3 linked regions of the Lepisosteus oculatus genome follow. The protein of the gene in region 3 interacts with the protein of the main gene of each other region in a biochemical or structural test. Links are inferred from orthologs where the notes say so. Each region holds a gene or a part of one and is shown on either strand. Other genes may lie near its edges.

Region 1 (10,372 bases), on a different chromosome or scaffold from region 3:
CTCTAACGCCTTAAGCAGGTTTCCCAGCTTTTTTCAGGAGCTTCTTAAAATGAAAGTGAACAAACATACCGCTTGATCCACAAGTTTCCCCGAAGCCAGCTCTTCCTGTAGCTTCTGTGCTTTCAGAGTGCGTTTAGCCTATGCGAATAATGGAATAAAAAAATCCAAGTCAGCTGAAAGCAACCAACAGGAGAACCACTTTTAGACACTAAACATCTGCACAGCCAGGCAATTCACAGGAGGGTAGCAACAAAGACATTGCAGCTATTATTTTATTGACATGCTCCTCAATTTGGCTGCCAACTGTTCCCTCGTTAATTAACCCCGCTGATAAGACATCAGCTTGAAACTTGCAACTTGGAAATCACTAAAATGCTCAAAACTGCTATGCAGTAGGCATCGCTTTCTTGAGTCCCCGGGGCTACAAGTGTGAAACCGTCTATCTGTTAACGTACACAGAACAGACACACAAGTCTGGCGATTTGCAAGTCTTTGTTCTGGAAAACCCTTATGAAGCTTATTACAACTGGAATTAAAAAGGAAAATAAAACATAATTAGGCAACAAAAATCAGAAACTGACTGTGAAATTATCCTTAGCACAAAATGCCTAATTGGTATACTCATGTTTTCAAAAAAGCACCGGATAACCGGGAGCATAATTAAAATATGTATATATTTAAAAATGCTCACAGCATCAGACTGAGGCGTAGAGGGGTGTACATATTTTTACAGATGCACGTGGTGTCAGGCAGAGGTGTAGAGGCGTTGTACATATTTTTAAAGATACACACTGTGACAGAGAAGTAAAGAGGTATAGAGAGTTAGATCCATGTTCACACGGTGACAGACAGAGGTATAGAGAGTTAGATCCATGTGTACCATGTGTCAGAGGTATAGCGGTATAAAGAGTTAGATCCATGTTTACATGGTGTCAGACAGAGGTACAGCAGTATAGAGAGTTAGATCCATGTTTACATGGTGTCAGACAGAGGTACAGCCGTATAAAGAGTTAGATCCATGTTTACACAGTGTCAGAAGTGTACTCACCAGATCCACCTTGGAGTACTCCTCCACGATGCGCATGTGCTCCTCAGGGTCGTACCCGTTCCAGCGGTCCCGCTTCCCGTCGTAGTCCAGGGACAGCTGCACCTGGCTGTGCTCATCCTGCGCGATGTCGGTGCCCGTGAACTTGGCTCCCACCTTCCTGGGCCGCTGGGGAGACGGGGCGCAAAGACAACCCGTTTGATCGTTTGGACAGCGGCGCGGCCATTTTCTTCTGCCTCGCTCTGACTAGCCACCCGGCGACGGAGGCCAGCTCGGGAAGGCTCAGGAAGGAGAAACAGAAGGCGAAAGAAAACGAAACAGCCAACTATCTTTCCCCCCGACCAGGACCATGGAATATTGGTTCCCACTTACCTCCAAGCAATCCTTCTTCTTGTGCGTCATCGCCCCACAGTTCTCGCATGCCCCTTTCCGATACTTCGTGGTAACAGGTTTCTACGCCAAAAGAAAAAACACTCACAAATGCTGTATACCATCCCTCACACAGCAAAAACATTTTTCAGTCTTATGATAATAAATGGCCTGACTGAAGATTACAAGACAAGTAGTGCTTGAGCAGTAAAATGTTCTAATAGACCATTTTGTTTCAGCTTAACAAGCCAAGCGTCCCAATTCTGTACTTTTCTTTGCCTAATGCCTAAGACATCAGTTATAAACACTACATTTATCATTCCCCAGAAATTCTCTCTTTTGCCACTCCCTTAAATGTGATAGTTCTGCCCCCCTTCATTTTTATAAGGCTTGGCACCTCAGTAGCTGTCTGAACTATTATCGCCCTACTCCCCACCTCGCAACCTTCGCTCTTCTAATTCTGCTCTCCTAACTGTCCCCCAAGCCCGTCTACACTCTAGGGGTGGCAGGGCCTTCTCCTGTTATGCCCCAAGGCTCTGGAACTGTCTCCCCAAGGATATCAGAGAGTCACCTTCTCTGAACTCCTTCAAATCCAGGCTCAAAACCCTCTTCTTCAGAAAAGCCTTTACTGAACTGGTTGCATTCTTCACCCCTCTGCTTTTCTTAGTACCACCATCCACGGTCTCCTCTATATATTGTAATTGTGTTTCATCTTGTGTATTCTTCTTATTTATTGTTGTTGTCATCCTGTAAAGCGCTTTGAGAAACCACCTTTAAAGGCGCTACATAAAATAACGTTTATTATTATTATTATTTTTTTAATGTGACTTTTCAGAAAACAGTGAATCACATTCTCGCCTGGGGCAAATACCTACGGGAAAGAAGGCTCGTGTGATTTGAGGGGATGGGCTACCTACAGAGCAGCACCCCAGCGCCGCGCTGAGCACTCACCTCCTGCACGCCCCGCTTGTACCAGTCCCCGATGGCCGTGTACTGCGGCTGCTTCTCCTCCTGTGGCCTCTGGTGCCTGAGGGTCGGCCTCTTGGAGGGGTCGATGTACCAAGGCACGGAGGAGATGTACTGAGGAATGTGCGGGTTGATGTCCCTAGAAAAAGAATGAAAGGTCAGCAATTTCATTTAGACCAACGTTGCAAACCTGTAATGGTGCGACGCGATGCTCAAGAGCCGTGTCTTGATCACATATATGCTAAGTATAAAAATTTCACAAAGATGGCAGAGGATACCAAAGCCATGGGCTGGAGATGTGAAGATCTTTGTTCTAAAAAAAAAACACCTGGAAAGTTACTAGAACTGGTATCAAGAAGGAAAAGGCAACATATCTAAGCAATGGAAGTCACGAACTTCCACTGACTATCCTCTGCACAAAACCCCTCATCGGTATTTTGTAGGTTAGTATCAGCAGGGGCATATGTAATGAATTCATATTTAAAGTTAAACAGGTTTACAGCCAGCCAATCTGGTCCTGGAGGGCTGGTGTGTTGTAGGTTGTCATTCTAATTTAGTGTTTAAGAGCTAAGCCAGGAACCATCTGGTTTAACTAGACTAATTTCACAGCATCTCCCAGCTCTTCTTGAGCTGCGGATATAAAGAGCCCTTAGCTTACACACAAAATCCTACAGCATGCATCTTGCGGCACCCCCTCAAAAAAAACTCTTGTTCTCCTGTCGCTTGGCTTTCCCCAAAGGATGCCCAGCAGCACATCAATGCTTTTGGATTTCGGCTCCAAATTTCCACCCTTTATTTGACAGTTTGTAAGGTTTTGGCCTGCGTGACGTACTTCCCCTCTTCGTCCACCTCGGCTGGGGCATTTCCCAGCTTCCTCTGCTCCTCTAGCTCCTTCTTCTTCCTCCAGTCCTCCCTGGTCATCTTCTTGGGCTCCTCCAGCCCCACCACCCCCTCAGTCCCTGCTGACATGGCTCTTCTGTTTCAGCGCCACCTGCAGGAGGAGGGTGGGAGAGACTGGATTATTCAATTCAATTCAACCTTTCAAGTCCCACTGGGGAAATTAGTTTTACCCCACACTCCAACATAACACAAGGACAGACAAAATTTTACCAACCAAGAAGTGGTGGTTGTTACGGCAAGACAGTTACGATATTAGATATTTCAGTGGGGTTGAAAGATTTCCTGTGTCTATGAGTATTACAACTGGGGACACAATCCATAATACACTTTGCTTTCTTTGCATTACAAAGCATTTCTTTGCACGCTTTGCTTGTAGAGGATATGTGAGGTGAGCTGATTTCCTCCAATTAATTTGCTATTTATTTGGACTAGGCTGGGAAAACTATTACAATCAATGGTACTCATTTCAACACTAGCAAGTGAGATAGTATGCCAAGACACTTTTAATAAAAGACTTGTAGAAATTGTTAGGATGGTCCTATCTATCTAGAAATTTCTTAGTTTTTCTTAGCAAACGTCTTTGTTGTACTTTTTATAAACGGTTTCACAGCATTTGTCCCAACTCAGGTTCTTGTCTATGACCACCCCCAGTACTTGTTAGTCAGTGACGATTCCTGCAGTCTGACCATTAATTACTGTAGGTTGGAGAGATGTTGCATTATTCTGAAAATCAATGACCAGCTCCTTTCGTTTTGACAACATTTAAGTGCAAACTCGTTACACCATTTAGTACAGTCATTTAGAACGGGTCCATAATGGTTTTCTGAGTCCCCTAATAACCCAACCAGGACTTTATCGATGAGATATGTATTTGTGCGTTTGCTTTTACAATCGTTAGTATACAAAATATACAGAAGTTCAAGTAGGTAGCAGTGTCAGCATACGTAGACTGCAAAGGAACGGGTACAGGTTTATTCCTGGTAAAAAGAGACAACGTTTCGGCTGTGGAGCTTTTACCAGCTGTAACAAAACACAGCCATGTAGAAATATAGCAAATGTCAGATAACCAGTTCCCCAATTTGACCTACTGAGTCCCGTGAACGAAGTCGCAGAGCGAGAGAGATGATAATTTCCTTTGCAGTATTCGAAGAGAAAGGGAGGGGACTTGGGAGATGAACAAGAGGCCGAGAAAGACAAATACAGAAACAGACTGTTCATAAACCAGCCTCCTCTCCGTCTTCTGGGCAGAAACTGGAGAAGCTCCGAGGTTTGAAACCAGCTACTTCCCCGGCTAACAGGGGGAAACACGTGTTCTGTAGCGATACTGGAATTTAACAGTTACAGGAAAGTTATCTTCGAATACTGCAAAACAAACGACGTACTTCCAAATGCCATAGATTTACATTAAATTCACAAGCGTTCATCCATAACAAACTGGCCTTCCGTCTACAGCTACACAACCGTTGTGCGTAAACGACCTGGGGAAGCGCATTCAAATGAAACACATGACGTTATGACGCGAAATCCGCGTAAAACATGACGTGTAAGATACATAATAAGTAGAAATATGTCTTACCGAACTCGACTGACAATATATTTTGAGGTCAGTTTATCGTCTCCTAGTGTCGTATTTACAGTCCACCGCACAACGCCGCCATATTCCCAGGATACCCTGCGCGCTGACGTCATTCAAAGGGGGGCGTCTGCGTGGTGGTGCTTTAAAGTTTGTTCAGCAGTAACACAAAAATATACATTTTTAAATTTTTTAATTAAATTCTATAAATACTCCTACACTTATCGTGAAAATCTGTATTTGACTTATTCTATTTTTAATGTCTTAGTGGCAAAATCTGCAAATGAAGCACCTATAGTGCTGGAGGATTTAAACTAAACCGTAGTGATAATGTTAGTAATACCCGCAACTTTATTGGTAACTTTAATACTGTTTCCGGCGGCTTCGCCACCATCGGTGTGCTATCAGAATGCCCACTGGCCTCCTTGCGTTGATTTTAACTTTAAGAGATGAAACCCGAGTGAGATCCGCCGGCTGTTTAAAACCGCTCATCCGACGGTTACCAAACTGTTGCGTCAGTAAGGGCTCCCGGTCCCCCGGTTTCGCTGTCTGGAAAGAGCCGTATACTCCCGTCTTAACTGCTCGTTTGACTCAATTAAAGTTATACCATAGTTCTTGAATGTTTACATCTTTCTAATCTGCTCTTTTCACCACTTCGTTGTTATTACAGGTTCATAATTACTGCCCAGTGATTTAGAATTTTAAAAATAAATGGAGTGATTTTTATACTGTCCGCAACCCAGCTGTTAATGGATCTGAGGACCATTCCGCTATTCAAGCGGGTCCTGATTTACACGGTGATTTAAGAAATTATTTCCTGCGCCAGTCGATAAAAGTGATAAAGCAGTGTGTCGCACCAGGAATTACACCGGTAGGAGAACAGTCGGCTGGGCGATGATGAACTGCACTGGAGCCAATAGCCCGGGCGTCTACCCCTCCGTCAGGTTTCACTAAGATGACAAGCGGAGGCGCTGGCTTGCACCGAGCAAGTTGTGTGAAAGCAATAAAAAAGCGGCGATATGAAAACAGCCTCAGTCGGTCGCGTTACACACCCGGTCCGCAAGGGGGCGGTGCGGACAGTCGTCACTTCCTCGAAACAGCTGCATCCTCGTGCTCCCCGGAGAGCCAATGGGAGCGCGGATTATTGTTTAAAACGAGAGCCCACGGAGAGTGGCGCTTGTGTGGTGAAGCTTTGAATTTAGTACGCTGGTAAGTAACGCAGTGGGGAGGAGGGGGGTTTAAAAATGTTCTCTGTAATGAAATCGAAACGTTTTTGCAGTATTGGAGCAAAAAATAAAGCTGCAATACGTCCTTATGAGGCGGGTAGTAGCAAAGGTATAGTTTTATAGATATAGTCCACAGCCGAAACGTCGAGTTTCCTTTCTTCCCTGTTAAGCGTGGAATAAACATTTAACTTGTTCCTTTGCCGCGTACGCATGGTGACGTACGCAGCTACATTCTTGAACTACATAAGATTAGTTTTTTTTTTATCCATTACCCCACGTGGGACGTTCTTTTGGAATCGCTTGTTTTAAGTGTCCTACCTGTTAATACTCGTCTTGTTGTTGTGCACTACAGATTCGTTTTTTTTTCTTTTCTTCAGAGATGTCCCTGGCGATTTATACCGACAAGGAAAACGGCTCCCTCTCGACGCCCGCTCCCGCGAAGAACCGGGTGAGGCTACAGTCTGCTCCAGGTGAGACCCCCGCTCCGCTGTCGGGCCCTCCCGTGTTATTCATTGCGCATCGATTTCGATTGATAGACTACGAGGGTAACTAATTAGAAGAAGGGTACTTGGTTTCAGAGCGTCGCTACGGCGATATTCTTTTCCGAGCCACATCAGCGGAGGTATCGTTACCTGCTGAATAGTGCTGGGATGAATACAGGACCATTGCCAATGTGTCCTTTGTAAAACGAAATGACTAACAGTGGTGCTGAAATTAATTCTTTGTTAATAAACCCACTCCATGGCTGTATCTTTTGAAGTGCATCTCTTTCATAAAGCCTAGATTGCTGTAATGTCTCATTTACTGCATCCATGTCTTGGCTTATTTGGAGAAGTGGCTGGATGAGATCCCTTTAACCAATTCAATATGAGGTATCCTGGCCAAATGTCCCATTGGCCTTGACCAATCATGGCCCCCTTATAATCCCCATATCTGAGCTGGTTTAATCACTCTGTTCTCCTCCCCACTCAGAGCTGGTGTGTAGGGAGGGTACTGGAGCATCATCCAGGTGGGGCTGCACACTGGTGGTGGTGGTGGAGGGGATCCCTATTACCTGTAAAGCGTCTTGAGTAGTGTCCAGAGAAGTGCTATATTAGTGTAAGGGATTATCATGAAGTCTGTGGCATACTAGCTTCTCTGTTGGCAGATCTGCTCGCTGACAGATGCCTGAAGACGCCTCACACTGGGAAGCTCCTGACCGGCGCCCCCATGCTCTCGGCTCGGAAGACAGTCAATGCGCTTGGCTCAGTTCCCTCCCTGCCCCTTCTTGTCCGGAAGAAGGAGCCACGTGTGGGTTCGACTAAGGTACACTTACCAGGCAGCTTGCAGTGCCAGTAGGATACTTCACTCCTGCTCTAACCTGGAGTCCATCGACAAACCTGACACTGCTCTTGTGCCTGATATCTTAAACAAGTCTTGGACTCTTCAGCCTAGGTTCTGGATCAGATGGCTACTGATCAATTAAAGGAACCATAGTCCTTAAGGACTGAAAGCTCTTTAGAAAAGATCTTAAGAGCTCCAGTCTATGTGACTTGACAAATTACCTCCCTAATTGACCACTTCATAAATTTTAAAGGTTGTGTATAAAATTTGGTGCTGTGACTGGGTCCTGCTCACTATTAACTGCAACGAGACACGTACTGTAATGTTCAAGTTGAGCTGCAAACATTTCACCTCAGAAATGTTCTAATGTGTTTTGCATGCAGGGTTGGCAAAACTATCTTGAAGCCAAGAGCAATATTTCTATTGGATTAAAAGAGATGTATTCACAAGCCTGTTTGTTTACAATGTAAAAGGGTGGCTTCACCTCACCAGGAGTTGTTGCCTCGTTTGAATCGCAGTTACTGTGTACATTTTACTGTTGCAGTTTGAAATACACTTCTCCATGCGGATTCTTTCTAGCCCCAAAATATAAAAAGTGTTGCAGTTCCCCTTTAATGAAGACTCCGGTTGCCGCTCAAACCCAGCACTGCCTTTGATGGCATGGCCCAGCCTGCTAAGGACTCGTATCCTGTGGAAAGCACTGGTCACCTGCATTAGGAATCCTACTGATGCTTCACATGGGTCGAAGCCTCTGGCTGGTGTTTGGGTTTCAGTTGAATTAATCAAGCCGTTTGCCTGGCCCCCCAGCTGAAAGAAGAGGTGAAGGCCTGCCCCCGACAGGTGAAGAAAGAGGAGTACCCCGAGGTGGAGAAGATGATTCCCTATAACCCACTGGGTAGGTCCCCTTCCTGTGTGTTTTGAGAGGGGGGGGGGGGCTATGAAGGGATATGTGCCAGATAGCTTCTTCCTGAACCCCCCTAGTTGAACACCTGTTCCTGAACTCGGTAAGTCTGTTCCATCTGTTTAAGTACCTGTACATGACTGTTGTTGCTTGGGTTCCTGCCTACTCGCTCTCTGGGGCTGATGGTCCTGGTCTCCCATCAGAGTTTGAGAGCTTCGATGTGCCCGAGGAGCAGCGCCTGAGCCACCTGTGCCTGGCAGGGCTGGCAGTGCCGCCCACTGTGGAAGAGGAGGATGACTTTCACTTGTTGGATGTCTGTATGCAGCTGTCGCCTCTGACCTTACCAAAAGGTGTGTGTGTGGGGGGGGGGGGGGGGGGGTAGGGGTGGTGTTTTGTAGAGTGGGGAATCTGCCACCCTCTTGCAGAAACCAGTGCCGTAGGTTTTGAAGTGAGCAAACCCCGTTTGATTTAAAATGGTGAACAGGGCTGGCTGTTGACCAGATTGCATGCTGTCAGCCCATGAGCAGGTGTAATCCACCTGTTTAAGTGTTTTGCCTCCTGCACAATTAAGACTCCAGTTCACAAGACTAGATATGCAACTGGCTTTGCTGCAGGTGCTGATCTAGTGAGTGACCTATGGTCAATGACCTGACCTCTTTAAACTGTAGTCAAGCTGTAATAACTGGAAGTGATAAACCTTATTGTGCACTGCTTGGTAATTCAGTGACCTTTACCAGAAAGGTTCTTAATGTTTTGACTTTGCTACTCCAGTCTTAATCTCTTGTGAATGGGCTAAGACTAGGAGTGATATCTGTATTGCAGAGGACTGGTCTGCGGAACTGGACTCATTCTTGCAGACGGTGAGTGAGCTGACTGTGGATCTGCCTCCAATGGAGTTTGAAGACTGAAGCTTTGTTTTTGTTTGTTTTTAAGCATTGGTAATGAGTTTTTCATGTAAGCTGCTTAATAGTTAAACTACATTAAACTGTCAACCACTGTTAAGTGAGATCAAGGAAGACTGAGATCCTTCATCTGTTTTCTGGATGCTGTGGCACTTAACACCACCCAGTTGGCCGAAGTTGTGATGCCCACCTGTTAAACAGGCATTGTTCATTTTTAGTATTTGTTGTAGTTTCTAATAAATTATTATTCTGAGTTTGGTTTCTCTTCCTTGTTTCTGCCCATGATAACAATGCACACAGCTCCATGGTCTCTGCTTTTATTGTAGTACTAAAGTCACTTTGTTCCATTTTGGTTTGGAGATCTCTGTACAAACAAAAGTCTTCATAATTTAGATATACAAGTTTATGTACAGAAGACAGGCTTTATAAATAAAATATTGAACACATTTAAACAAAACTGGTAATGTTTAGCTATTGCCCCTTAAAGTAAGAATGCCTGTTGGTATGGACCACGAGGAATTTGTTTCCACTATGCTCAAAGAGGCTTAAGCATAAACCAAAAACAAACTGGAAAGCACTATATTAAGTGATTTGGTTCAGTCCAGAAAGAGTTAATATAACTGGCAACTCTGCTTTTGCAGCTCCTGGAAAGAACTGGTCCATGAAAGAGGCTTGGTACAAGCCATTGTACCAAAGGGACAGCCCTGGCAGTTGACATTACCAGTTCTGCACCTAAAGATCTCATCTAAGGAGCAATTTGTCCTTCTAAATGCTTTATCTTGCAGATTAATCTGACATATTACAGTTTTCATTTACAAATTCCAGAAAATGGGAAAACCACTACATTCAAAAACCTTACACAGGAAAAAAGCAGAGTGGAATGCCTCTTAGAAGATGCCAGCTGTAGAAGCCCTGCCGTTTAGCAAAAGTTTTTGGCACAAATTGTACCAGCTTGTTGTAGTTTAGTGTAAAGCAGCATGCAGGGCCTGAGATGAATGCTAAAGAAACTTTCCAATCCCACAAGGGTACAAAAGTGTGAAGCAGTGGACAGTCCATATCATTCTAGGATGGCAGGAAAATTATTCCAGTTTAACAACCTCCAGTATCCCCCCCCACCCCCCTATTCAACTGTCCCACCCACAAGAGTCTAGAAGCAACTGGAGTGTC
Region 2 (10,281 bases), on a different chromosome or scaffold from region 3:
GAAACTGCCACCTCTGTCACTTGGCATCCCGGTTCTTCACAGAGCCGCTGGGGACACAATGAAGCGGCACGTATCGCGCCCTCAAGCCGGAAACCCGGGTTTTCGGCCGCCAGATCGTGCTGAGGGGACGGGTACGTCAGGACACACCGGCCCCGGAGGGCCCGGCCGAGGGGGCTGGTGTCGCCGCGGCTCTTTCCCTACCTCTTGCGGGGCTTGCTCCTGCGCCGGCGGCTGCTCCTCCTGGATGCCCCTCACGCCGGCCGGCAGACAGAGCCCGGCCAGCAGCAGAGCGCAGAGCAGACGGGCTCCCTGCCTGCGGGCGCTACCGGGGAGCCGATACATCACTACCAACGGAGCGGGCGGCAGACAGACGCGTTACAACAATTACTATTTTAATTTAAAAAGGGGGGGAGTTAAACCAAACAACTTAAAACTTAAATTAAACTAAAAAAGGCATATTTAATTAGATGTAACTGACGCTACTTCCACATCTCTACTCCGAGCCGGAGCTGACGGCTGCTCGGGCTCTGCCAACCCTGCTATCTGCTGCAGTCCGACACATCGGCCGGCGGGGGCGGGCTCTGCGGGCCACGTTCACGACGCTTCCCGGGATCGGCCAATGACACGCCGCGGTAAGTGAGCGTCATCACAGGCGTCACGGGATCGGTCGTCATGTTAGGTAGAGAGGCGCAAAACCGGAAGGAAGAAGTACGAGAACTTCCTCCAAAGGGGGCCTTTGGCATTTTACAGGTACTACCTATAAATATACGTGTCTGTTGGTTATCTGCCATCCCCAGTGTTGATTGATGACTTTATGTGGTAGAGCTGCCTGTGAAGATTTTTAGTTATGTTGTTTCTGCCCTAATTCCTAACTTACAAATTCTTGCTTCGAGTGTACTGCTTCTAACAGCACACGTTTACCCTTATTACTGACTAACCCAGCTCCTACCCGGAGGCCACCGACACGGGTGAGCTTCACCTAGCACCAGGCACTCCCACAATCTGTTTCTCCATCTGCAGCTGTGCTACTACATATCAATCAGCTCAGGTTTAATTGGACCGGATAAATGCCTTCCACCAGTTCAAAGTTTATTTATCAAATGTACAACAATGCAGCGTGCAGCAGTAGTTGCTGGAAATGAAATGTCTTTTCTGCGAGCTCATCGGGGGGTAAAAAACACCAAATAAAAGTTACAAAATAGATAAAGTTACATAATGATAGATAATAGTGCAATAGAAATTGAATAAGAAACTCAGACAGAGCTCAATATAAATAGAGCTGCTTTTGAAATGGTCTCCTCCAGCCTTATGAAAAACAATGCAAATTAATTTTTCACTGATATCAAAACCCCTCATGGAGATAACAGGAATCAATTTCTTTAATCATTTGGCACACTTAAGTAGAATAAGAAACAAAACAACAAGCAGGAACTCATGGAACACAGATTTAATCTCAAGGTACTGGAAACACCTCCAGGAGAGTAATGGAATGTTTTATCTTTAAGGTCATCAGAACTAATCGGTAATCCACATAGTAAGAAAGCTGCTTGCTCCTGGTTATAGTCACAGCACCCCAGAAGCTAACCCCACTAGACATAGGGTGCAAATGAACATTTCTCCCTGGGCTAGACTCCATTCCATCAAAAGGACACAAGACAGGACGCACCCTGGACAGGACACCAGTCCATCACAGGGCACAAGGTAGGACACACCCTGGACAGGACACCAGTCCATCACAGGGCACAAGGTAGGACACACCCTGGACAGGACACCAGTCCATCACAGGGCACAAAGTAGGACACACCCTGGACAGGACATAAATCCATCACAGGGCACAAGGCAGGACCATACTCTGGTCAAGACACTAGTACATTTCAGGGAACAATAAGAGACATCAGATATCCTACCCAGCTTATCTTTGCAAGGGAGGAAACCAGAGCACTCAAGAGGCAGCAGCACTAACTGCCATGCCAACGTGCTGCCCTGAATCAAAACTTGAACATGTCATAGAAATACATACAGAGAGGTGGCTCTGTGGCTCAGGATTTGCGCCTGTGGCTGGAAGGTTGCCGGTTCGAATCCCGTGGCCGGTAGAGGAATCCTACTCTGTAGGGCCCCTGAGCAAGGCCCTTAACCCCAACTGTTCCAGGGGCGCTGTACAATGGCAGACCCTGCGCTCTGACCCCAGGCTCTCCCTATCTGTGTGCCTGTGTGTCTCATGGAGAGCAAGCTGGGGTCTGCGAAAAGACGAATTCCTAATGCAAGAAACTGTATAGGACTAATAAAGTTATGTTATGTTATACAAGATTTATTTACAATTTTGCACAAGCGGAATTACATTCTTTCCAAGCGGTACTTTCATACACTGCAGCTGAAATCTATAAGACCAAAGGAATGAAGGCTTTGCGGTGTTTTGGATAGGAGTCAAACTTGGCCAGATAGAACTGGTGGCACAGCACAGCCTCCAGCGCCTGGCAGCTGAGCACGTACAGGACCACCAGCCACCAGGTGGGGGCGCCGCCGCCGAGGGCCACGCAGTAGGAGACGTAGATGAGCAGCTCAGCGAAGTAGTGTGGGCAGGAGACGAGCCGGAACCAGTCGCCGTGAGGGACGCAGTGAGCCAGCGTGAGCACCTCCCCTGCCGCAGCCGGAGAGAGACAGCGCGTCGGGGTTAATGATCCGCATCGGGGGTGTGAGCACAAGGCCCAGCGCGACTGACGTCAGCAAGTTTAACAACCGCCTTAAAACTTGTAGGGGAAACTTACAGCAAAACAAACAATAGACATGAACGGAGCCAAACAGAAGTTCAGAACGTACGAGGTCACTGTATTATATTTTCACTCAGCAAAATGGATGATTATTGGACAGACGCTGTATGTACACCTACCACCAAAGTGTGTTTCTGTACGGTCAAGGATGAGGGCCCGGCCATCCATTCAGCCATTTTTTTTATAACCTCTTTCTCCAATACAGGGTGATGGGTGAGCCAGACCTTCCCCAGCAAGCAATGAGCACACCCCGGCCTAAAGAAGTGCCGGTCTAGGTGCTCCTGCATCAGACAAGCACCGTTCCATTGGTTTCAGATCTTCAGTTCCCCTTTTATGAACTGATTCAGGCGCTGGGCTCTAAGCCACATTTTCTTTTGGAGCAGGAAGTTGGGAAGCTTTAAGGCTGTGAAGAACAAATTGTTCATGGGATTGCGCCAGCTTTTCATATCTATCCTTGTCAAGCTAGGAAACGGGGAGTGTAGTCAAAACACTTGGACAACAATCTGAAAAAAAAAATGCGACTTGAAGAAGGATCAAGTGAGATTCTCGGCAGTGTGAATTACAAAGGTGCAGTTTGCCAAATAATTCCCCAGTCAAACCCGAGTGACCTGTCATGAGTGTAGCAACACCTGTGAGACCCCCGTGTAGCTCTCACCTGAGCGACCCTTCCTCAGGTTAGCGAGGATCACGTGACACCTGTGCTGGTGCACAGAGGCCCAGACAAACAAGCCCACCCCCGCAAAGTGGTTCCACCGCACCTGTGCCAGCACTCCACCTTTAACACTACCTGCCAAAACAATAAACAGCTGTTTTTAAATGCCAGAACTTTTTTCTCTTGAAATGTATAACTCTACCATGCTTTTATTTACAACTGGAAAGTTAACAAAGTATACTGCAAAGTATGCATTATGTCAGATTTTGCTTTGTTTCCTTTTTGATACTTGTGTCCTGATGATAGGTAACGAAATATTATTCCATCCTAGGTTGGTATTAGAAAATCCATGTTATTCTCTGACATTGGAGAAACAATCATTCACTGTTGCCTGCATTCAACATGACTGAGGAAAACCATGCAGACCAGTAAAATACACTGCACTTGTGAGGAAGAGGTGTTGTACACAAGGCACAACAGAAACACACAGCTGTAGGAGTTAAATACATATTAAAGACATTCAAAATCAGCAGTAACAGTATTTAATAATTACATGTTCTCAGGCCAGACTGACCTTCGTGTTCAGTGTGAATGTTGGTACAAAGCACTGTTAATCCAAGTAAAATGTAGTAACCAAGCCCAAATCCATACTGCGCTAAGTGTATGACTCCATTGGAGAACACACTGACAAACAAACACTCCAGGAGCCTTCGGAGGGAGTGAGCACACAAGAGCACCTGCACCAGGAGGAGAGAGAACTGCTCACCTGTGAATGGAGAACAAACAGGTGCACTGTAACAAAGCATTGAGATGTTTAACGAGGTTAAATATGAGCCTTTGGCTTCAATCGGACAAACATCCATAAAAATCGCCCAGCAGACAGAAATAAGGTGTTCTCTCTGGAGTGGCTACTGTTACCCTGAGCTCTCCAGGCCTCATAATTTACCCTGTCTGCATGCAGTTGTAATCTACCTTGTGAGAAAATAAAGTGCTAAAAACTAATAAGCTTGTTCTGGCACAGCTAGGTGAACAGCAAATCAATGCAATGGACGTCAGCGCATCACGATTTCCAACTAACTGGTAGAGAGATGGACAGATCCTCACACACTGGGGGTTCCCACCCTGGATCTGGGGAACCTACCCCTGCTAGTTGTCCTTTTAGTTGAGCAGTCAGTCACATAGCCAGATTCCTAAAGGGCCTAATAACAGGCGTGCTGTGAACATTTTAACTGTAGTTCCTCAACATGTTGGTGGCTGCCTTTAAACTGTCGCATTTCTTCTGATATAAATATGAAATAAAGCTGATCGTAATTAACAGCATAATAATTATTATTGCTGTTGGTATTATAAATGTTTGGCATTATTTAATAAGTCCAACATTTGCATTACAAAAGCTCAAATTGAAGTAATTGTTGGCTTCTAATTTAAGTAAAGAGCTGGGCTGGGATATGTTAGTGTTGATCCTTCAATGTTCTTTAGGTTAAGTATCCAGTGCAAGGCTACTTGATCATTTAGCAGAGAACCACCTGCCACTGCCCTTGACGATTCAGGAAACGTGTGTTCTTGTCTTGTGTTACACCTCCCAGCAGAGCAGCAGTGGCCTCATTCCTGCTTTTGATACAGCATGTGGGAACTTACCTGTCCCAGGTGTGGCTGTACCTCCATTGAGGAAACTCAGGGTGCTCTCTAACCAGCCTGGAAACTGCTTACCCAGCAGGGTCTTTTGTAAGCAAATAGTGAGTAATAAGGAATTCCAAATCACAGACACAGCGTAAAAATGGAAAAACCATCTGCAAAACACCCCCCAAACAACAATATTAACAATCTGACACGGTAAATAATAGTAATAATATATACAACAGTTAATATGCAGAATTATAAAGACTGTGTCATTGTCTTAAAGATGGAAACCAAGATAGTCCTGTTCGTATCACACGTGTTCGAGTTACAATACAGTGCAGTTACTTGGTGACTAATACACGCGTTGTATGAAGTAATAAGTTACATACAGCATGCCATTTATTATCCTCGAGAAAATGTAATAAAATATTATTTTCAGAACATCGTGTTTTCCATAAGGCAATTCTAACGTCAATCTAAATTTAATATCAACATAATCCGGCCGTTTCTAATCAGCTTCTGTTTTGAACGCACAGTTGAAACTTTACACACGATGTCTTTTCATTCATCATATGAACATCTTTCTCTAAGGGGGGAACAGCAGTCCACAGCTCTGATTAAAGTTTAATATGATTTATAATTTAAGCCCCGGCAGGGTAAGATGTCTCTGACCTTTTAGGAACATCAAAGTATCGCAGTAGGTCTGACCGCTGTAGGGTGGTCTTGGTTTTTCCGTACCGAATAAAATCCTGGAATAAAACATAAACCCAGGAGCCACCGTATTTATCAGACGAGTGAGCACAAACGTGAATACAAAAAGCAAAGAAAAAACAGAGAGACAGAAGTAACCATATACAATCAATAGGATTCATCCTAAACCACTGAAACCAAAGTTTCTTAGTGTCCGCGGGGGAAACAATTCCGACGTGCAATGCGTGTCTGTGCAGTAGGGGTTCCGCACCGCAAGGGTAAATACTTTTCAACACTTCTATAGCCCTCTGCTGGAGTCTCCACTCAAAGCGCTTCACGGGTAATGGGGATCCCCTCCACCACCACCGGTGTGCAGCCCCACCTGGATGATACGCCAGCAGCCAGGGTGCACCAGTACTCTCCTCACACACCAGCTCTCAGTGGGGAGAGCAGAGTGATGGAGCCAGTGCAGAGATGGGGATAATTAGGAGGCAAGGCCCAGGGATACAACCCCTACTTCTAATGGTATTTGTTTAAATCGGTCCCGTTAAACAATAATAATAAATCTCCAAAGTTCTGCCTGCCGGCTGAATAAGGCGTTTTGTCCCTTCTCGCTTGCCGTCCGCCCTGCGCTGGTGGCGATTGGTCGAGTACTGCTCGCTGGCCCCGCCTCCACTTGGTTGCAAATGGCGCCGCGCATGAACAGGCGCCGGAGGAGGATGTAGTGGGTTTGCCTGTTTCTTGGGAACTGGGCAAACGAGCTTTGTGCTTTGCTCGGGTAAAGAGAGAAGTAGGTATGTGCTGATGTTGTGTTCTATTTTGGAGGAGTTTGTCAAGTTTACTAGCAACCGCAGACTGCAATGCGTGTGCAGTGTTTTCCACAATCTCCAGTGTGCACTGCGAAGAGCGAGGTCATTTTGTGTTAAAATGAAAGCGGAAAAAAATAAAAATCCCAAATCGTATTTATTCTGAGAGATCATCATGCAGTGTTTCAGAAATGTATCGCTGTTAAATGTATCTCTCTTTTTTTTTTGTTCTAAAATTCAAGTGCTCACTACTTACAAGTCTTCTCAGGTTGGAAAATCGATGCCATAGCTGTATTTGAAGACTTACAAATACTGGAACTCCTCTGTCTAGACTAGAAATTCAGACTCATACCCCAGTATAGTGACATGGGAAACTGCTGCAGGAGGTGCTAGTCTTTGGATTAATCATAACTACCCAGTCGTTAAAGATCCCGTGACAATGTGAGAGTAGTCATGTTAACCCTGGTGCCCTAAATAAATTCCACTCCAGTCTTGAAAATTCCATGTTCCCTCAATTCCCCTTTTGATGTGATTGGTGCCGCGGTTTCTCACTCCTCCACCTGTGTGCTCCCTCGAACATGTGAAGCCCTTCAGGATGGGGAGCGCTGTGGGAGTGCAGGGAGTGACACAATAACATTATTGCTATTAAATACTTCTCAAGCTGTGGGAGCTGAGCTCTTTAACCTGCTCACAGGCCCCTGGGAGAAGCGTCTGTGTGTGTTTGTGTGACGGAATGGCGTCCCGTCCCGTGCCCATTACTGGTGGGAGCGTCTCCGGCTCCCCTGTGGCCCTGAATTGGGAGAAACGGTTGGGAAATTGATGGAAGCCGAGTCCAGTGGTCTCCTCCACTGTAAGCACACAGGAAGTGCTTCCTGCTTGTCGCTGTTTCCTGGTCCTCCTGGAAGCCCTTCTCATGTGCTGATCTTTTTCCCGGTTTGTCTGTTTTTTTGTCAGTGCCGAAGATGCCTGCGTTCCGACAAGTGGGGGAGAAGCAGCTGCCGAATGCCGTCCTTTTCATGGTCTGGTCCCCGAAGAGGGACCTGATCGCCCTCGCCAACCGAGCGGGCGAGGTAACAGCCCCAGGGCTTCGGGGCAGCTGGCCGCAGCCGGAGGGGCGCCGGTTACACGCCTGGCAGTCCTTGTGCTGAACTGGCGGATCAGAAGCTGATGCTCCGTGTCTCATGCATGCCTGTGCTGAGAATAAATTCGCTGTTCTGAGTGGCGGGTTTTCCCCGAGCGCGGCTGTCTGTCTGTCCACTGGCCCTGGAGAACATTTCTGTGTTTGAAAGTTAAATCGCCCCCAATGAATTAAAAAAAAAATAACACTCCTAAGAATAGTTCACGGCTCAAAAAAACAGCAGATTTCTGCTTTTGAGATGGTCACCCAGTAAATCGTCTGATCGTCTGTGGCTTTGTCTGCCCTCTGACTGGCATCGAAGCCTCCCTTTGTGTGCGTCTTGCGTCACGGCTGGGGAAGAAGCCTGTCTCTGTCTACTGCGATAGAGGCAGTCCTGCAGCAGACTGTAACTGTTGGGTTGCTGGTTGTAAATGAAGCTGTGTGTAAATTAAGATTTGAGGGTACAGGACAGAAAACAACAACTGGGGAATTCTAATCTCATAAAAGATGACGCGAGGAGTGTAGCTCTCGCTACGTGTATCAGCGACATTTACAAACCTCATTAATTTGTCTTAATTGGTTTCAATGTATTTTTTAATTTATTTTTAAGCTCCTATTACACCGCCTGGCGAACTTTCAGCGGGTGTGGAGTTTACCTCCCAATGAAAACACCGGCAAGAAAATCACGTCGCTCGCATGGAGACCGGATGGCAAAAGTAAGGGCAGGGAGACTTTTTAACAGGAGGGGGTCTGCTGCAGTGTCTGAAGAGCCCCAGCACAGCCTGGAGCCCCAGTTACTTTCTCCTGGGGACTTTATGCCATCTAGATAACATCTACAGCATCTAAGAAAAGTATATTTTACATTATTTGTCATCAAGAAATCGACATGACTTGGATTTCTTTTATTCCCTTTGCCCGTGCACTTCTTCATCAGTTGAGATGAAATTATAGCTTCTGTTGAGGGCATCTGTGTGATATGCATCCAGAAGGGTGGTTGATTATTCAAATTTGCAAAAAGAGCTCTAAAAATGTAGAAAACGATATTGCAATCGGGAGTGTGAAATAGCTAAAATGCAAGAACGTGATTGTGAAATAGACTAATCCAAAACCTGTTGTGCACTTTAATACTAGGAATAATCGCCTGTACTCAGAAGGATGTGGAGTACTTTAAGTGTGGCCTATCTCTTGTAATGCAGTTCATGTTCTCTGTTTTTTTTCCTTCGTTAGTTTTGGCTTTCAGTGTTGGGGATACTAAACAGGTGATTCTTTGCGATGTGGAAAAAGCAGAAATTCTGCACTCTTTCCCTGTGGAGCAGCCAGTGTCGTGTATGCACTGGATGGATGTTTCGGAGGACAACAGGTGTGTTTCCGTTATTGTCACAGGTGGAAAAAAAAATCTGAATTAGAAGAAATGGTCACTATGCGAATTTGCCTAGTCCACACCATTATTTTTTACATCAGATGCGGGCTAGACAGTGCTCACATTAAAAGATTCCTTCATGCTATTAGGCTGGTGTGCAGGTTACCCAGCTGCTTTCTTGCATTGGTAGTGACAAGTAACGTAACTTTTGTGAACATGGAGGTGGAGGTGACCCACGAACGGCCAAAAAGTTTAAATTGAAATGTACGAGCACCTGCTTTGTGGATATGGTAGAATAGCAGATCGCTTTTTATTGCAGTGTTTTCTCATCGTTTTATAATGAAGATGAATCGGATCTTTTCCTGCCAAAGTTACCAGCTCTTCCAGAGAGGTAAGGATCTCTATTTTCTGAGTGCTTTATTCTGATACTTTTAATCAGTTTCTGTATTTGACCTATGTGTTAAATGTCACTTTTTAAATTGCCGTATCAACTGAAGTTATTTAATATCACCTTTGCAACGTTATTAAAAGTTAGGTTTTGCCACAAATGTTGTGTTTTCAAAACATTAGTGCATAATTTCAGTAATTGTTAATCTTGATAAGTGCTATAAAAGCGTAAGGAATTATTATTAATTAATTGATTTTCGAATATTTTTATTTACAGCTACAGCACCACGTCAAAAATATTCAGGTAGTTTCGCAAACACTTTCTTTTGATTTTCATACATAAATATTATTGCACAATTAACTAATTTATTGTCTGGCTTCCAGCGAAGACAAATCTGATGAGATTATGAATCTTCTGGGTGAAGTAAGGTGAGTTTTTAACAGTTTTTATAGCTATGCATAAGCAGTAGGGTGCAAAAAAACATCATTGAAATTGTTCATGTGAAGCATAAAAATACAAACCTCTGTTGGAACCAGTAGAATTTGTTGATTTTTTTTTCCATGACACTTATTATAGTATGTTCTCATTAAATACAGAGGAACAGGTAAAGGTTTATTCCACGCTGAAAAGAAACAATGTTTCGTCAGTGGAGGCTTCTCCGGGTGTTCTTCTGTTCTACTTTCAGGTGTTCTTCACACCTGAAGAAGACTCCACAGCCGAAACGTTGTTTTTTTTCAGTGTTGTGATTCTATCCTTCTCTTCTCAGCAGGAATAAACCTTTACTTGGTCCTTTGCAGCCTGCGCATGCTGACGCAGCTGCCTACTTGAGCTACCTCATTAAATGCGGTTGTGAACCTTTTCCGTTGTGATGTGGAGAACA
Region 3 (10,572 bases):
GTGCAAGTAACTGTGAGATCTTTATTACAGCTTAAAATAAACTAAAGTAAACCAAACACTTGGACTGTTGCTAAAGTTTACATTGAAATGCTGAACGATGTTTTCCATAACACTAAATTTGACACTACAAAGTTTCCTGGACTTGCGTATTGCTTTTCCACTTATTTTGTTGTCATAGATCTTAGCTGTATTCCTGCAATGCAGATGCAATACCTATTTGTTCTGCTCAGATTATGAGGCAGCAGCTTGTACAGTTCACAATCAAACAGATTTATATGCTTCGAAAAACAGACAAGACTCTATGAAGCTGCAATTAAAAGGCATTAATTCTGAGCCCTAACTGAGACAAACAGCTGGATTCTCCATAGGATTTTCAGGTTGTAAACAAATTAAGAATGGAAAATAAATAAATACATCTTGAATTGGTGCAAAGCAGAGCAGCTCCAACTCTTGGGGTCTTGTAGGTCACCCCTTTCTAAAAACTGGGAACTCCTGTAAGTTATTGATCAATTAAGCAGTCTGTTCAATGAAAAGAACTCCAGCTCTTAAGAAGTCAGAGTTCTGAACGATATTGATATTTTACTCCCAGATGATATTTAAAATTGTAAAAAAAGATCACCTTCTTAATTGGTCATCATAAAATCATTCCATGCATTTCAAAATTAAGGACTTAAGAGTATCCTGCTGTACTGGACTCTCCAGATGCAGCATTAGAAACTGGTGCCATGAAGAGATTAATATTACTTCTCCCGAATTTCACAACAAATGCGCAAGTAATGTACATTTTTTTAACCTTTAAAAAAAAAGAAACTTTCAAACAAATGCAGAAAGAATAAGCGTCCAAAGTCCTTTACCAGTAAATCTGTCCCAGTAAAGAGAGGGTAAAGCAAGCAGAATCTCCAAACTCTGTGACAATATCATCATGGCTCTTCTGTTTATTCAGGACTCCCCCAGTTAATATTTGTTCCCCCTCTGCAAGTCTAAGTTCAAAAAGATTTTTTTGGAAAGAAAAAAAAAGAGGAAAATGTAAAGCCAAAGGAAGAAACACCAAACAATCAGGACGAAGACTGTAAATGCTCAAGGCAGAAGAAACGAGGGGTTACAGTGACATGGCAGTTAGTGCCACTGTCTCCCAGCTGTTTAAATTAAAACTCAGTTTCAGACAGGGATTGTCTGTGGGAGTAGTCTGCGTGTTCTCCACCTGGGTATATTCCAGTTCATCCCATTTTCTCACGCATTGCAATGTAAGATAACTAGGTCTCCTAATTGCTCCCATGCATTCTGTGACAGGATGAAGTCCCAGTCCAGGGTGTAGCCCTGCCTTGCACCCTGTGTTGCAAAGGTGCAACATATATTGAGGTGGCTGCTGCACACTGGCGGTGGTGGAGGCGAGCCCCTATTATCTTTAAAGCTCTTTGAGTGTCCAAAAAGGCACTTATATAAATGTAAGAACATTTTTATTATTACCATGTTATTGGATAGGCTGCAAGTTGCTGTAAGCTTAAATAAGTACTTTGCTCATCCCGGTATACTGGATGGGGTAACTAAAATACTTTTACATTGCAAACTACTCTGATCTGTGCCTGCTTAAAAAAAGTATGTTATTCTATACAATACTTTTAGCGTTAATGAGAATTTGGACTTACAAAAACCCAACAGATAGCTCAGAACCGCCGGCCTTACCTGCTCAGGTCCACACAGCACTTTGCGAGAAGGTATTTGCACTGCGGGGTAGTGCAGCTATGCCCTTTAAGAAGGCGATAAGCCTTGTAGGCCTTGCCAGACCGGTAGTAACATGTGGCCAATAAGAAGAGAGCCTCTTCAGAATGCACTGTCCAAGCACATAAAAAAAACAAGCTTCAGCCCTAATGAAGAGCTTAGATTTCGAAAGCATAAAAACAAAACAAAACTGGCAACCAAACATTTCGTTATACTTTATCCCCCCCCGCAAACCACCCCAAATAGCTAAAAAAAGGATTCTTGTTAAAGACTATACATTTATACAGAAAAGAGTATTAAAATGTAAAACAGGATTTCAAGACCACAAAATGTCTAGGCGTAATTGTTAAAAACATAGAAGTCAGCAAAACAGATCAGCACAAAGAATTCTACTGTTATTTTATTTCTAAAAATCAGGCATCTTAAAATATAGCTCACTTCACAATAATTTGGGGGCCATGATTAAAGATGTACAACTACACCACCTTTATTCAGGATACATGAGTCCCTAATAATTTTATTTCCCAGTCTGACTCCATCACTTCTGAGACATTATTGATTTATTACAACCAAGAAAAAGTTCCGAACAGCTGGGTGATCTCCTCACATCTATTTCATTACCTTCAGCATAGAGTCTCTCTGCCAGAAAGACAGCATCTCGGTAGGCATACTGGTTTAGTGCATGCCAAACAGCTGCCTAGGAATGAAATGAAAAATTCAGTACCATCTTGGCAGCAGAGGTCCTTATCTGCAGCACAAATATCATCAAGATCTGAAACGTGTTTAGTTAATTTACACATTTTGAAACAGGGAAGATTTAGCAAACTAAAAATCTTTTTTGAATTGGGTAACAAGATCAAACTTTTAAAAACCCATTCACATATTGTTGTATCAGGAATACTACTAATAAGATTGCATATTAAGAAATATTTACAAAATGTTTCTCAATAAAACCAAAAGTCATAATTACTAACTGCTGCTCGTATATAACCAAGCGGACTAAACATAGGTTAAGTTCAGTAAATGGCCAAGAGATTAACTGGATACAACCCAAATGGCAGTGTAATTAAAGTAAGGCAGTTTAAAAAGAACGTTATTGTCCTGTTAGCGGCATTTTTTATCTCAAAGAAACTTGACACATTTTGTGAAAAAGAAAACATTACTTAGAATAATATAATGACCAGTGCATTTAAGATCAAAAGCAGCAATAACTTCTTTATGCAAAGGTTTGTGGGAGTCTGGAACTCAGATACAACAGCTGAAGCTGATACTCTTTACTTCCCTCAGGAAACAGAGTGGATAACACTCTCACATTAGTTCTCCATTATACGCCACACAAGATAGATTGGCCGTGTTATGTTTTAACAGCTGAAGTTCAAGTGTAACCCAAAAGTGCTATTCATGGGCATTATAGTCACAGAAATGACACTTCACGCAGTCCCCAATCATATTACTCCCTGCGTTATATATAGTACAAGCTATCATAACCACATTCTCTTTCAAATATAGGTGGCTATGTACTTGTGTCAGTGATCATACACCAGTCTAGTTATGTCCATTACTTTCCATGTCACCCAACAGTTACCTCAGTTCAGCAGGTAAAACACTTCTCCAAACACCTGTACATATTCTACAAGCACGAGCATTACTGGTGCTATTAAGAGAAAAAGAGCACAGTTATTCCCAGTTATAACCCCTAACCCCAACAGCCTCACTTACTACGAAGGGGCGGGATTGGGGCATATCTTCAGATGAAAAACAATACCTGGATAGGCAGAAAGTCCCTTTGATATACTAAACCCACAGTTCTGCGACATTAGACCACAAAGCAATAAACCGAATTTGATTATAAACGACTGTTCATGAAGACGTTTGCACTGCAGACACGTTCAACGTATTGCTCTTCACATGCAACATTTCACCTTACAGGATCACCGCGCATCACCCTTCAGGTGTTTATTAAATGCGAAAAAATACCTTTTCAGGAGCAAAAAATTGTTAAAAAACAGCAGTCAAAAACTTCGAAAGCTGTTGTGTCATTTTATGTACCTAGGTTTATTTGTCCACACACTCCGAGATAAACAGCATTCGCTAACACCAAGTAACAATTTTCCGGTTTTATTTTTATTTAAAAAGACCTAAAAAAAGCCTACCGATCAATATTCACTCAAATTCTACAATCAGTCGCTAAAGCAATGCACTGAAGCCAGAGGAAACAAAGATGCAGGTGTTCGACTTCAAAGGCATCTACGTTACAATGTTCCACATCTCACAATCGCAAACTTCAGTAGTTGAACCAAAGTCTTTCCAAAGCAGAACAAAACCTCAAAAACGACCCTCACAATGTCTGGTTACTCCACAGTGCCCCAATTTGAATGAATTCGCCATCTGATCAAACTGTTAATGACCCATCACAATTTATTAACCACTAGCACATCAGCCAAGTTACCTGTGTAAGGTCGCAAAATGCTACAGAACTACCTGCCGTATTTTAGAAAACAAAATACTACAGTAAACACCTCTTTCCCCCATAGGGCAAGATGCCACACCGGCGAATAATTAGGACTTTAAGACTAATACAATTTCAAGAGCAATAAACTGCAACAAAGCGTTTATAAAAGAATCGCACATCACCCGAAAATCTTGTTATAATTCTGATAAACCGGAATTCTGAATCAAACAAACGCATCGTTTTTGGCTTTGTAAAGCTTTTCAATCGCGTCTTTTTTAGCTTCCCAAAAGGAGAGTACGCGAGGCCTCCACTATTTGTTTTCAGGCCTCGGGCTCGGAGTAGAGCTCCCTACCGGCTGGCGAGAGCCGGACTCGGGTGGGCGCGTTCCCACCACAGGCCGCTCTCATTTTAACCAAGTAGCTGCGCCGCGTTTCTTTATTTTCCTCCGTTACCTGCACAGGTTCTTGTAGCACCGTCATTACGCGATCAAGCTCCTTCTCTCTGCCTTTAACTCGCTTCCCCCGTTCCGCAACCCCTCTTTCGCCTTTTGCTCAGTTTCAGGGCCCGAAGGAGCTCCGAGGATTTAAACACATCGACCGTTAGCGACCAAACCGAGACCCGCCGGAGATTGCCGATTAATGCGGAACAGGCACGAACAACGACGGACTGTGACGGAAATTGCCGATAGCTTCGCCAACAACCCGAAACGCAAGCGCAAGCTAGGAGTGTGAAATAACACTTCCATTCACAATTAATTACAGCGCGCAGTGATAATGGCTGGCTGCTTTCGTTCTCAATTACTTTCTCTCTCTTCCTGTCTTCATTATGAAAAATTAGGGTTTGGGACCTTCTGTATGGACTTCTCTCCAATACATGCCTCTTTCAAAGTAAAACTGCCCTATACTCTGTCCAGTTTAATCAACATGTTTTTAAAGCACATTTTAATGAGCCCCAGTGGCCTAATGGATAAGCTACTGTCCCGCCCTAACCCAGGGATTGTGGGTTTGAGTCCCATCTGGGATCGACTGGATGAAGCCACAGCGTGCAGAATAAACTTTTTAGCTTTCTGGATCTCTAAAAACCTTTTCCACATCAAAGGCCACCAGTTGAGACACGACAGATTGCATCTGAGTGGGATAGATGGTGGTCGTCTTGGCTCAATAACCCACTAAAAGCCCGACACTTAAACTTTACATGGGGAACAAAGACCAAAGGAAAAAAAACAAACGATTCTGTAATTAGGCTCTTATACCTAAAAGCTGGGAAACAAATGAAATAGGATGGAAGCTGGCACATTAGCAGGGAGTTATGATGTTACTGAAACTGATGGAGAGGAATGGGGCATAAGCGGATTCTCTTCTGGGAAGATCGGAAAGAAAAAAGGTACTCGTCAAAACGCTGAGGCTCTGCTTAAAACTTGGCAGGAACAAAACAAAAGCAATGCAAGTCGAGACACAGAAATGAGGTCAAAGAACCAGAAAGGGACTACAGCGTATCAAAAAGAATATTCAGGTTGGGGAATTAAGGGTAGAGGAATTACTTCTTTGAATCTATAGGTGTGGTGTTAGCAGTGTGTTAGACACCACCACCAATTGCAGATGTAGATTTTTACTCAACACCGTATAATGAAATTAAAAATGTATATGCCACATAAGAAATTATTTTTATTGGTAACTGTAGGTCACAATGGGAACAAAGGGCGGTTAGGTATGTCAGGAACAGGCTGAAATGGAAGACAAACAGTAGTTCATCACTGATGGCAAGACAGGTTATCAGAGTGCTTATAGGTGGAACTGCTTGAGCAGATCTTGTCTTTTCAAGTAGTCAGGAGAATGAGGACAACAAAGATGGGAGAACCTTTATGAGCTTTTGGCCATAATATGGTGCTGATGGATATTTTGAATCTGTACAGGTTGAGTATGGAGCAAAAGTGTCCAATTTCTGGACAGCAGGCTTTTGAAGGAATGAGATGCAGGGGAAGAGAAATAAAATAGGACAGGATAGGTATGAGGTCATTTGAAAAGGGATGGTTAGAGTTTAAACAGTCTGAAGCAAAGAACAAATTTATCACAAGAGTGACTCAAACAAAAACTAAAAAAACAGCATCCGGAAGGGTTCAGAAAACAGTTAAGAAATAGCTATTTTTATTTTGGGGGGAAAAATAAAGCATATTACAACACATTTAAAACAACAGAAACAAAGACAATTGGTTTACATGCACAGGTGATAAAGTTATTAAAAAATGAAAATTTAAAACATATTACAATGGAGGCTAAAAGAAATAAAAAAAAGGGTTCTTGTCATTCTACAACAGCAGAAGTACCATTAGGAATAAAGTAAAGCACATCTGGAATAAAAATGGGACACACTGAGCTAGAAGAAGCTACTTATGAGAAAAAGACCTACGTGATTATGTTGACATACTGTAAGTGGAATTCAAATGAGTGGAAGTTATGTTCAAAATGTTTACTGTACTACTAAGGTCTCTTACTAGAATATAGTGCACAATTGTGGTCACCACATTATAGAAAAGATACTGCTGCTCTAACGTCAGTCCAGAAAAAAGCAACTACTGTAGGTACCGGAGCAGAGGGGTTTATGTCAGAATAAAGGGCACTTCAGATCTAATGTATGTATTAATATTAGTGCTTAGTTTAACTATTCAGAATCCTTAATGGTATTGCCACTGTCAACTCAGTGAATGTCTTCCACATGAACAGTGAAACATGAACCAGAGAGAGCAAGTGGAAGAGCGTTTAAATCCAAGAACAGGAGGTACCTCTTTACCCAAAGGGTGGTGGGAGTATGGACAAAGCTACCCAGCCAGGATGTTGAAGCCAATACCCTGGATTCTTTCAAGAAAAGACTGCACAAGTTTGTAACCTTTCTTATGCAGAAGCATGGAACCTGGATCCCAGCCTCGATCAAATTCTAGTGCTCACCTCTGATTTAACTGTATCACTTTCCAGCCACACTCCTCTCAAATCCAAAGTTTAGATCACTGCGGACAATGCTCATGAACAATAGGATTTCTGTGACAAATGCCACCGGGTTTGTTCCGGGCGACACGATGGCACAGCAGTTAACATGGTAACCTCACAGCACTGAGGCCCTGGGCCAATCCATCTGTGTGGAGTTTGTATGTTCTCCTTGTGTTTCTAAGGACATTACCTGTTGTCGTTTTGCACATTGCCTGTTGTCTCTGTTTTTCTTTTCTTATACAATTGTATTGTTGTTTTTTTTGTACTGCTTACCATCTGAGAGCTAGCTAAATAGCATTTCATTATACCATATACCTGTATATGAGTATAATGACAATAAACTTGGATCCAAGAGGGACATCGTAGATATAGCTAAAGTTTAGAAGGAATTTACTGGTCTACAGAGATCTGCATGGAGTACTAACACACAGAAGACATGATGGATGGATAGATTAATACCCTCATAATTTCCTTTTTTTAATTGTATGATGTTAGCATGCCCAAAAAGGTTGGGCAACCAGTTGACCTTGGACCCCTAGAGGTATTTTTTCTCCTTAATAAGGAGTTTTTGGTTCCTCTCCTCCATTGTCTTCTGGTCTTCTGTTCTGTATTGACAAAATGTATTGTCAATTGCATTGTTAAGTGCCTTAGGGCAACCTTGTCATGAAAGGCGCTATCTAAAAATAAATTGAATTGAATAAACATGAACTTGAACTTGAACTTGGACTCGCTGGTAGATAATTTTGCCCTGGTGTGGCTGTGTATTTATGCCTGTGTGTACCCTCTGATGGGATGGGGTCCTGTTGGGTGTTTGTGCCTGTTGTTTGCTGGGCTAGGCTTTGACATCCCCTGTGACCTTGTAATGGATAAAACAGAAATCGGATGGCTAAGATGTTGTCAAAAGCTTCAATAGAGCCTGAAGTTTTAAGTGTATAAAGCCACCAGGTGGAGCCACAACACCACTAATACAATATGTTACCCTTCTAGTTTTCCTGACTCTGTCCAAAACTCTCCTAAAGGAAAATTAAGTACCTAGATTTACACAGTCACACAACTAGTATGCTACAGCATGTTCAAACCAGCTGCTTGTAACTCAGTTTAAATTCATGGATCTCCCCTGTTGTAGTTTTCTTGCACTGCCATCCTGTGAACTTTACGATAAACTTCAAAATCTTGCTGTCTTTAAGGGCTTGAGCGGTTTGTCTCCTAAGTAAATCAGTGAACCGTTAGCCCCCTACACAACGTCACTTTTCTTTGCTCTTTGGTTTTACTTTTAGTTCCCCAAAACTGGATCCTAACCCTGGGTGACCCTGAGATAATGGGGAGATCATGTTTCCTGTACTGTTTTTCTCCAAGGCTGTGGGAATGATCCCTAAGCCCATGACTTAAAATTTACTTTCATACATCAGCTTTTGATTCCCTTAAATTTACTGTAGTCATTTGTGTTTAGTCGTTTCTAAGGTTTCTCCCTTCACCTTGATTGTTGTAAAGCATGAATCAGCATGAAGCATGAAGCATGATTCAGAACGTGAGTGGGGGTGCAATTAATAATTTTAAAAACACAAATAGTTTTTGTAAGAAAAGCACATTTCCTGGGTATTTTGTTAGAGACCCCAATGGCACTGTTTGCCCTAGACGCACCCAGTCTGAATTTCTACCCTCCATTTCTTCCATTCACATTCGAGACAGAGGTCATACTTAGTCTGACTTCATCGCGCCAGGGCGGATTCGGAAAAAGCTTGGATCTAATCCCTGTGCGGACTCGGATCCTCAAGGCAAAAGAAAAAAAAAAGGAGTTCTAAAAAATAAATCAGGGATAAGAGATTAGTGGATTGCTGAAGTGTAGTTAATTTGTTGCAGAGGGTGTTGCTGTACTCCAGAGCTTCCTCTGCACTGACAGGTATTAATGCAGGTGGATTATCTATCTTCTGCTGTTCCAAAGTGTCCTCATGGTACCCAGAACCTTACAGCAGGTGCTGTAGCTATTCCAAGGGAACAGGTACAAGGGATTGATTCTTTATTACAGGAATCAATATTATTATCTTTTATACTGAATGCTTTTGCTTTCTCCTAGGTATCGGGAGGTCATTAAAAAATCACATTTTCTTTCCTCTGATTGTGGATTGATCTGAGCAAGAGATGGATTCAGAGACATTGGGTCTCGACCTTCGATAGTCATTTTAAGAATAAACAAATACATTTAGTAGATTGACAGAATCAGTGCAGCCCTATTGAGAAAACAGTTTTAATTGCAGTTTTGATTTGTTCACCCTAGTTGAAATATATAGGTGTAGGTAGGTAGGTGTAGTTGGTGGATTTATTCATGACTCATTTCTGTGATCTCAATAGGCTGTAATTTGTAGATGTCTAAGCAATTGTAAAAAGAAAAAAAAAGTATGGGAAATTAAGACAAGAGCTGGATGTGAGTTTCCAGATCTACCCACTTCAGTGTTGTGGTTTAGCATGTGCTTGGGAATGTGGAGTTGTGGTTAGAGTCTTGGATTTATGCCTGGAGTTCAAATCCTGGCTACGCAGTGAAACAAGGTCCTTTTCCAGATTTCTCCAACAAACCTGACCGCATAAATGTACTGTATAAGTCAACTTTGATCAGAATGGCAGCCAAGTAAATTGATCAAACAAGTCAATGGATGGATAATTATGCATTTTAAAATTGACAATGCTGTGCATTGCACAATTTTTAAAAAATAAAGGGGAATTCATAGGTTCACTCATTAGCAAGTATTAGGCACCTCCAGGCAAATGAAAATATTCTCAGTGTCACACCATTACCCTCATGACAACCGCTGGTGTAGGCATTTCTGCCAGAGAAATAGGACATGACGGTGCTGCTCATGACAGGATCGTAATAATAATTTGGACAGGGTATTTAATAATTTGGCCAGTGTGTATCCTGAGAAGATTGACAGAACGTGGCAATCAAGACGTGAGCACAGCACTGACTCCTCAGTAAACCAGGGAGCTGCTACAGGGATACGGTGACTGATGGTCTGTTTGTAGTACTGCTATACACACAGGAAGAGTAAAGAGGTCTGAGGCAGGAGAGGCACAGGACAAGGGTGATCCAGGAACACGGTGAGCAGGCAAGAAGACTATGAAGACTAAGACCAAGCACAGGAGCGTGGAAATGTGGGTCTTAAATACTGGAAGGAATCAGAGTCTGATGGGAGACACTGATTACCTCCTGTAGCACATTGTGATGGCTACTGATGGAATAAAAGGATTAAGGTTGTTAGCAGTGAGGTTGGTGTGACTATTTGTGGTCCGACGATTGTAGGTATGACATTATTTAATAGTATCTCACACCTGACACCAGCTGGATCAATCTGACACCTGACAACAGCCAGATCACACATCTGACAACAGCTGGATCACACGCCCGAAAAAAAGATGGATTACACA

What was found.
Region 1: the proteins of cdc27 (region 3) and pttg1 form a complex in vitro, tested with the Homo sapiens proteins (3 studies listed by BioGRID). The link is inferred for Lepisosteus oculatus from reciprocal best matches to the Homo sapiens genes CDC27 and PTTG1.
Region 2: the proteins of cdc27 (region 3) and anapc4 form a complex in vitro, tested with the Homo sapiens proteins (2 studies listed by BioGRID). The link is inferred for Lepisosteus oculatus from reciprocal best matches to the Homo sapiens genes CDC27 and ANAPC4.

The regions. Positions count from the first base shown.
Region 1 is NC_090706.1:28,923,510-28,933,881, reverse strand, and holds pttg1 (securin), read left to right. Parts: upstream 1-5,955; 5' UTR 5,956-6,062; intron 6,063-6,456; 5' UTR 6,457-6,458; coding exon 6,459-6,549; intron 6,550-7,226; coding exon 7,227-7,384; intron 7,385-8,209; coding exon 8,210-8,297; intron 8,298-8,506; coding exon 8,507-8,653; intron 8,654-9,125; coding exon 9,126-9,211; 3' UTR 9,212-9,458; downstream 9,459-10,372. Other genes in the region: pre-mRNA-splicing factor SLU7, read right to left, coding at 70-138, 1,049-1,213, 1,418-1,498, 2,366-2,519, 3,213-3,349. UniProt on the Homo sapiens protein: Regulatory protein, which plays a central role in chromosome stability, in the p53/TP53 pathway, and DNA repair. Probably acts by blocking the action of key proteins.
Region 2 is NC_090696.1:77,823,832-77,834,112, forward strand, and holds the start of anapc4 (anaphase-promoting complex subunit 4), read left to right. Parts: upstream 1-6,385; 5' UTR 6,386-6,519; coding exon 6,520-6,520; exon of another isoform or gene 6,521-6,524; intron 6,525-7,490; coding exon 7,491-7,606; intron 7,607-8,263; coding exon 8,264-8,369; intron 8,370-8,880; coding exon 8,881-9,013; intron 9,014-9,332; coding exon 9,333-9,404; intron 9,405-9,677; coding exon 9,678-9,704; intron 9,705-9,784; coding exon 9,785-9,829; intron 9,830-10,281. Other genes in the region: putative divalent cation/proton antiporter TMEM165, read right to left, coding at 202-342; srd5a3 (polyprenal reductase), read right to left, coding at 2,379-2,638, 3,424-3,555, 3,995-4,186, 5,059-5,210, 5,713-5,912. UniProt on the Homo sapiens protein: Component of the anaphase promoting complex/cyclosome (APC/C), a cell cycle-regulated E3 ubiquitin ligase that controls progression through mitosis and the G1 phase of the cell cycle.
Region 3 is NC_090723.1:7,971,443-7,982,014, forward strand, and holds the start of cdc27 (cell division cycle protein 27 homolog), read right to left. Parts: upstream 4,810-10,572; 5' UTR 4,651-4,809; coding exon 4,624-4,650; intron 2,417-4,623; coding exon 2,341-2,416; intron 1,832-2,340; coding exon 1,684-1,831; intron 981-1,683; coding exon 855-980; intron 1-854. UniProt on the Homo sapiens protein: Component of the anaphase promoting complex/cyclosome (APC/C), a cell cycle-regulated E3 ubiquitin ligase that controls progression through mitosis and the G1 phase of the cell cycle.